Anolis sagrei: one gene and its partner. The protein of the gene in region 2 interacts with the protein of the main gene of each other region in a biochemical or structural test. Links are inferred from orthologs where the notes say so. Each region holds a gene or a part of one and is shown on either strand. Other genes may lie near its edges.

Region 1 (3,912 bases), on a different chromosome or scaffold from region 2:
CCATAAAACGGGGATGCTTTGAATGAGATTTTCCTGCTACTTGGGAGGGTTGGACTGGATGGCCCACAAGGTCTCTTCCAACTCTATAGTTCTATGATTGTAGACCAGGCATGGACAAACTTCAGCCCTCTAGGTGATTTGGACTTCAACTCCCACACTTCCTAACAGCCTACCGGCTGTCAGGAATAATGGAAGTTACTGGCTGTCAGAAATTATGGAAGTTGAAGCCCAAAACACCTGGAGGGCTGAAGTTTACCCATGCCTGATATAGACTTATATAAATTATCACATTACACTGTTGAAGCACTGTTGTTCCACTTTAAATCCTATGACAGCCCCCTGTGGAATTCTGGCCTTTGTACGTAATGAGGCCCAGGACACATCCAGTTTGGAATTTTGAAGACCCCTCCCTAAAGTGCACATCCCAGGAATCCAGAGGCGGCAGGCATGGGATTTAAAGTGGAATAACAGCACTCTTAACAGTGTAGTGCAGGCATGTGCAAACTTTGGCCTGGCAGGTGTTTTGGACTTCAACTCCCATAATTTCTAAGAGGGCCAAAGTTTGCACATGCCTGTTGTAGTGAGCTCAGCTGCACTGAATGAATGTACCCTGACCATATGATACAGTCTGAAACTGCATGAGAAGCTGCAGTGTAGTTGGGGGCCAGGAAAGGGCGGTGGCAAGGGACAACAACAGTTCTCTTGGATAGAACTTACCCTTTATTAAATTTGAGGAGAGGGTTAGAAATAAATAAGGGGGGGGGCAGTTTTAATTTCTAGCCCAGGCATAGGCAATCTTTGGCCCTCCAGGTGTTTTGGACTTCTACTCCCATCATTCCTAACAGCCACAGGCCCTCCTTTCCCCCCTCAGCCACTTAAGTGGCCGAGGGAGGAAAGGAAGGGGCCCGAAGTTATAAGGAGCTATGAGAGTGTAAATCCAAAAGACATGGAGGGCCCAAGTGTGCCCATGTCTGATGTAGGCACACCGTTGAATATATACCGTTGGACACTACTTGAACTGCCATGGCTGTTAGGAGTGGTGGGATCTGCAGTCCAAAACACCTGGAGGGCCAAAGTTTGCCCATTTCATTGAATTTATGCTGTTGGACACCACTTGAACTGTCATGGCTGTTAGGAATGGTGGGATCCGCAGTCCAAAAGACCCGGAAGGCCGAAGTTTGCCCATGTCATTGAATTTATGCAGTCGGACACCACTTTAACTGCCATGGCTGCTAGGAATGGTGGGATCTGCAGTCCAAAACACCAGGAGGGCTGAAATTTGCCCGTGTCACTGAATTTATGCAGTCGGCCACCACTTGAACTGCCATGGCTGTTAGGAGTGGTGGGATCTGCAGTCCAAAACACCAGGAGGGCCGAAGTTTGCCTGTGTCATTGAATTTATGCAGTCGGACACCACTTGAACTGCCATGGCTGTTAGGAATGGTGGGAGCTGCAGTACAAAACACCAGGAGGGCCAAAGTTTGCCTGTGTCATTGAATTTATGCAGTTGGACACCAATGGCTGTTAGAAATGGTGGGAGCTGCAGTTCAAAACACCTGGAGGGCCAAAGTTTGCCCATGTCACTGAATTTATGCAGTCGGCCACCACTTTAACTGCCATGGCTGTTAGGAAGGGTGCGATCTGCAGCCCAAAACACCAAGAGGGCTGAAGTTTGCCCATGATATTGAATTTATGCACCACTTGGAACTGCCATGGCTGTTAGGAATGCCTGTTCTAAGCTATTGCCTCACACTGCTGTGTTAATTTAAAGGGGGGGGGGGAACGCCCCCTCCTCCCCAAAAAGAAAAAAAGACCTATCTACGGGTCATTCCAGACGGACCCTCTATCTCAGGATCTGATCCCAGGTGGTCTGCTTGAAACTGGGTTATAGGAGCCCACAGTGCAAGATAGTCCGGGATAAACAGAAACGACCTGGGCTCAGATCCGGGGCGCTAGGCCTCTCTCGCTCCCCCCCTTCCCGTTGGAGGCCGCCCCTTCCTCCCTCCCTCCCCTTGTTCGCGCGGCCCAGGAAGCAGGCCGAGGCCCTTTGCGGCCTAGAGCGGCGGGCCAAGCCTGCGCTGGAGTAGCTGCGGCCGGCCCTCCTCCCACACTCCGCTGCGGCGGCGGCGAAGGAGGTACCTGGTAGGGCTGCGAGTCCCCCTTGCGGTCGTGACAGCTGAAGGGAGAGAAAAAAGAGAAACAGTGGCGTTAGCGAGAGAGTGGCCGTTACTGGCGGTTGGGAGAGAGGGAGGGGAGGAAGGGGGAGGGAAGGGGGGGGCGAGGAAGATGGAGGACGGGGGCTTATTTACCCATCATTGAGTCTTTGCTGTTTCCTCGCATACATTACCATCAATGCCCGGCCTGTGAGAGAGAGACTGAGGGGACCAGGAGGAGGAGGAGGAGGAGGGCGCGGCTGGGCCACGGACGGGGAAGGAAGGAAGGAGGAAGGGGAGGGAGGAGGAGGAGGAGGAGGAGAGAGGCCCAGCGGCGCTCACGGGCCCATCGCCTCGCCGCCCAACGGAACGCAACGCGGAAACGCAACGCAGAAGGAAGGAAGGCGAAGGCGGCGACGACGACGACGACGTCTCCCCCCTCCCGCCGCCGCCACCACCGTCTCCTCCCCCCTCCTCCTTCCTTCCTCCTCCTCCTCCTCCCTCTCCCTCAGTCACTGCTCCCAACACTACCGCCGTCCAACTACATCCGGGAAACTCAAGCGACGACGCCTTCGCCAAACGTCGGCTCCGCTCGGCTCTTTCCGCCCAAGCTCCTCCCTCTCCTCCGCCTGCCTTCCTCTTTTCGCGGCTTCGCACTTCGGGTATCCTCGGCCGCTTCCGGACACCAGCCGATCCCTCCCCCTTCGGGTTTGAAGAAGACACGCCTTCTACTCATCTTCGGTATTTTCCGGACCAAGCCCTGCTTTTCGGGCGACGTCGGCTCTCTCCGCTCCTGCCTTCTTCGCCGGGGAAAGGCATCGGGTGTTTCCGGAAAGAGCCGAGAGACGGGCGAAGACTACTACTACTACTACTACTACCAATAATAATAATAATAAACTTTATTTATACCCCGTTACCATCTCCCCATGGGACTCGGTGCAGCTTACATGAGGCCGAGCCCACAATACAACAATACAAGCAAAACAAGCAATAACAAATACAATACAAAGCAATTAAATGGTGATTATGATAATAAAAACAATCGGCGCTGACAAAATTACCCTCTGTCTTGTTTACTGTGTACTAATCTTGTTGTGTATCTAATAATAATAATATTAATAATAATAATAATAATAGCATATAATAATAATAATAATAATAATAAGTGGTCCCAGTGGTGATCAGCACACTGGGTGCAGTGCCTAAAGACCTTGGCCTGCACTTAATAATAATAATAATTATTATTATTTATTTATTTATTTATTTATTTATTTGTATCCCGCTTTTCTCCTGTGGGTAGGATTCAAATCGGTGTGTTGTTGTTGTTCATTCGTTCAGTCGTCTCCGACTCTTTGTGACCTCATGGACCAGCCCACGCCAGAGCTCCCTGTCGGCCGTCACCACCCCCAGCTCCTTCAAGGTCAGTCCAGTCACTTCAAGGATGCCATCCATCCATCTTGCCCTTGGTCGGCCCCTCTTCCTTTTGCCTTCCACTTTCTCCAGCATCATTGTCTTCTCTAGGTTTTGCTGTCTCCTCATGATGTGGCCAAAGTACTTCAACTTTGTCTCTAGTGTCCTTCCCTCCAGTGAGCAGTCGGGCTTTATTTCCTGGAGGATGGACTGGTTGGATCTTCTCGCAGTCCAAGGCACTCTCAGCACTTTCCTCCAGCACCACAGCTCAGAAGCATCTATCTTCCTTCGCTCAGCCTTCCCTAAGGTCCAGCTCTCATATCCGTAGGTTACTACAGGGAATACCATG
Region 2 (3,912 bases):
AACTTACACTTAGACTTCAGATGTTCAAACTCTGTCTTTCTAGTTTTATATACTCAAGATTTAGGGATGTTTCTAAATCCTAGGAAGGAAAGCTGAGGTTTACTTACCCATAAATGTTGCTAGAAGACACAAAGAATACATCTCCTTGTCAATTTGCTCCTGGAGTTCCTTGGAAGAAATTTTACTAGTTACTGCAACATCATCATGTTTCACAGCATGGGCTGAGTGCACTGAAGTCGTCTGGCTAATATCCTCCTTCCCTTTTAGGATCTCTACAGTTATTCTATCTCCATGCAGCAGAGGAACAGGTTCATTTTCCTGCCCTTCTTTGGGTGGCAAAAGCTCTTTGGGAGGGAAGCCAAAACGGATACACTGCAAATGGGAAGGAATACTAAATTCTCTAGCAATGCTCTCTTGCAATTCGACAAATGTTGTTGTGGACTTCAAATTGAGCATGGCCTGCCGCCCATCATTTGTTGTTATACGTATTTTCTTTTCTTTTGTAGATGTTGGGGAATAAGGAGTCTTGGTTGGGGTAGCGGGTGCAGAAGATGACCCGTCAGGGACAGCACCTGGGGAAGTAGTTCGAGTTGGCCCTTTCTGCACCTGTTTCAATTTGTCCGTTTTCCGCTTCTGCATTATAGGCGCTTGCTCTGCAATGTTTTGCTGAATGCTTCTTTCGGTCTTACTCATGGTCAACTCTTCTTTGTGCAGCGTTTTTGTTTTCTGTCCCGTAAGAATAATTTTAGTTGGAAGCTGAGATTCCAAGTCCTGCCCTTGTTGCACATCATCAGCTCTTCTGGCATGAGCACCATCAATGTTTACAGGGGTATAATCATCGGGGTTCTTTTTGGCCGTCTGATGTAGAATTGTATTAACAACCTTTTGGACAAGAATCTCGCTCCCAAATTCTCCCGGAAAATGCTTAGTAACAAGTTTCATTGCAACATCATATACATTGCTGTTCAGAGATGGATCACTCTCATACTGGAACCAGTACACGGTCTCTCTCACCACTCTCCCGCCCCACTCCAAAGTAATAGGGAAAGCTTCGGGGAGATTGTCATACTCTTTGCCTTCCCAAAAATGCTTAAATCCACAGCCACATTTGCCACCTGTGGATTTAGTATTTGTTCTATCCCCATCCAAATACACAACAGAGCCATCACTCCTCACACGACGCACCAAGGTGCCATGGCACAAATTACAAGCAGTCAGGCTACTCAGACCATAGTCTGGGACAAGTACATCCTTCACAGGGTTATAGGAGCACACTAAGCTATTAAGGGGGAAACTGTAGTTTTTGTCTGGTCTTAGCTGGCCATGGGTAGTTTTTGCTAGATTATACAGTTTCCCCCCTGGAGCCAACCACTCGGGAGGAACGTGGAGTTCTGAAAGTGCACCACAGATCAGACACTTGTGAAGGCGGTTGTCCATCACGGCTTTTTTAGCGGCGGCCGTAACATCATCAGGCTGAACTCCAATTACACCAGTTCGTCTGTAGAAATATTGATGTACGTCGGCCACTAAACTCGGGTGAATGCCGTGCTTATCCATAAACACTTCCTCCATGGCGGCAACGAGCCTCATCAAGTACTTGTCTTGCAAACTCCGATCCCCTCCAATCACGCAGCTGCCGTCCTCTTCCAACTTGATGTACTTCTTGATAAGGTCCTGAGGCACTCCCCACGCTTTGGGAAGCAGTTTCAGAGGCAACTTCGGCAAAGCAGCACCTTTGATCCCCACCAAGGGGATGTAATGGTTACGCCCCGAGCTGCTCCAGGCGATGCAGATGGGCTTGTTGAGCGTGCCGTCCTTCCCCGTGCACTTCTCCTCCGGGACCAAGCCGGGCAGGAAGGTGGCGGAGTAGTCGCCCGAGCTGCGCATCCCGCTGAGGGAGTCCAGGAGGATGATGGGCCGGCGCAGGACGTTGGCCAGGCCGAAGATGTGGATGTTGCGCAGGCCCATGGGGACGCCCTCGGGGGGCACGAAGAGCGGGTCGCACTCGTTGACGATGTCGTCCCACTCGGCGGCGTCAATGAAGTCGTGGAAGAGCACCTTGTAGCGGGCCAGGTTCTCCACAAAGTGGGCCTTGAGGTTCTCCCGCAGGGCGTGCCAGAAGAGCTCCCGGCCCACCAGCGCCCGGGAGACGGCGTGGACCAGGCAGTGCCCATCGCCGTCCACGTGCACCGGGACCAGGCACTCCTCCCGGCTGCGGTTGGCCCGGCGGATGTCCTCCAGCGTGTCCTGCAGGTAGAGCAGGCTGCCGGAGCGGTCCTTGCCGTAGCCCACAGTGTCCACGTGCTCGGGCTCGATGAGGAAGGCCCGGTCGCCCAGCAGGCTGCAGTCGAAGACGTCGCCTTGCTTCATCTCGGTCAGCAGCTTGGCCTTGCCCGTCTGCTTGTCCATGCCGTAGCGGGCCAGGATGGGGGAGAGCAGCTTGCAGTGGTAGTTGGACAGGCCCATGACTTTGACGGGCTCGGTGCTCTTCCGCGGGGGGCCGGCCCCGCTCACGCCCAGCAGTGCGCTCCGGAGCAGGTTGTGCAGCACCAGGTCCGGGTCGGTGACCTCCTCCACGGAGAGCAGCTGCCGCCCCTCGTGCCGCCGCCCGCAGTCCGTGCACTCCACGCTCCCGGCGCTCAGCGGGCCCCCCTGCACCGCCGGGAAGAACAGCCGCGCCCCGCACTTGGGCTCCGGGCACGTCCCCGAGAAGATGCGCCGGTCGCGCTTCGACGACGACGACGAGGAAGAGGAAGAGGAGGCCGCCGGCGGGTCCGGCTGAGGCGGCTGAGACATCGCTTCCCGCCTCGCTCCGCTCTCTCCCCGGCCTTCTCGCCCCCTCACGGGCTCATTCCCTCTCTCCCCCTTCCTTCCTTCCTTCTCCCTTCAACACCTGACAGAACCTGACAGAACCGGCCTCCGCTTCCTTGCTTCCTCTCTTCCTTCCTTCCTTCCGCCAACTAACTGCCTCTTCACTGCCCGACTTAACGGCCTTTCCCCTTCTCCTTCGACGCCCACCACGGGAATTGTAGTCCCCTCCGCGCCGGAAGTAGCTGTCATCCCAACGGCGCCGCGCAAGGCGCACAACTACGAGGACCGTCATGCAACGCGGCGCAGGAACCAAAACGAGCCTGGGAAGTGTAGTTCTTCCCCTCCCCGCGTTGAAAGGGAATACGTTTCCCAGAATGCTCCTCGGCGTTCCTCGGGAGTTGGTTGCCGTGAGGAGAGTGACGTCGGCGGCGCGTTCCTTCTCCGTGAAGGCCGCGCAGGGGGCAGAGAAGGGAGCAGCCAGGGGGCCCTCCACTACACAGCCCTCCAGCCCAGAAGGTCCAGGCGGGAAAGCCCACAGTATCTGCTTTGAACTAGGACATATGGCAGGGTGGGCTCAGGGCCCTTCCACACAGTCCTATAGCCCCGAATATCAAGGTGGGAAATCCCACAATATCTGCTTTCAACTGGAATATATGGCAGTGTGGACTCAGATAGCCAAGGGCCCTTCTACACAGTCCTATATCCCAGAATATCAAGGCAAAAAATCCTGCTTTGAACTGGGATATATGGCAGTGTGGGCTCAGGTAACCAAAGGCCCCTCCACACAGTCCTATATCACAGAATATCAAGGCGAAAAATCCCGCTTTGAACTGGGATATATGGCAGTGTGGACTCAGATAGCCAAGGGCCCTTTCACACAGCGCTGTAGCCCAGAATATCAAAGCTAAAAATCCCACATTATCTGCTTTGAACTGGGATATATGGCATTGTGGACTCAGGTAACCAAGGGCCCTTCCACACAGTCCTATATCCCAGAATATCAAGGCAAAAAATCCCACTTTGAACTGGGATATATGGCAGTGTGGGTTCAGATAACCAAGGGCCCTTCCACACAGCCTTATAGCCCAAAATATCTAGGCT

Evidence for each region.
Region 1: the proteins of VCPIP1 (region 2) and WAC form a complex in vitro, tested with the Homo sapiens proteins (2 studies listed by BioGRID). The link is inferred for Anolis sagrei from reciprocal best matches to the Homo sapiens genes VCPIP1 and WAC.

What each region holds. Positions count from the first base shown.
Region 1 is NC_090026.1:110,880,730-110,884,641, reverse strand, and holds the start of WAC (WW domain-containing adapter protein with coiled-coil), read right to left. Parts: upstream 2,664-3,912; 5' UTR 2,351-2,663; coding exon 2,310-2,350; intron 2,177-2,309; coding exon 2,140-2,176; intron 1-2,139.
Region 2 is NC_090024.1:45,411,148-45,415,059, reverse strand, and holds the start of VCPIP1 (deubiquitinating protein VCPIP1), read right to left. Parts: upstream 3,060-3,912; 5' UTR 2,797-3,059; coding exon 108-2,796; intron 1-107. UniProt on the Homo sapiens protein: Deubiquitinating enzyme involved in DNA repair and reassembly of the Golgi apparatus and the endoplasmic reticulum following mitosis. Necessary for VCP-mediated reassembly of Golgi stacks after mitosis.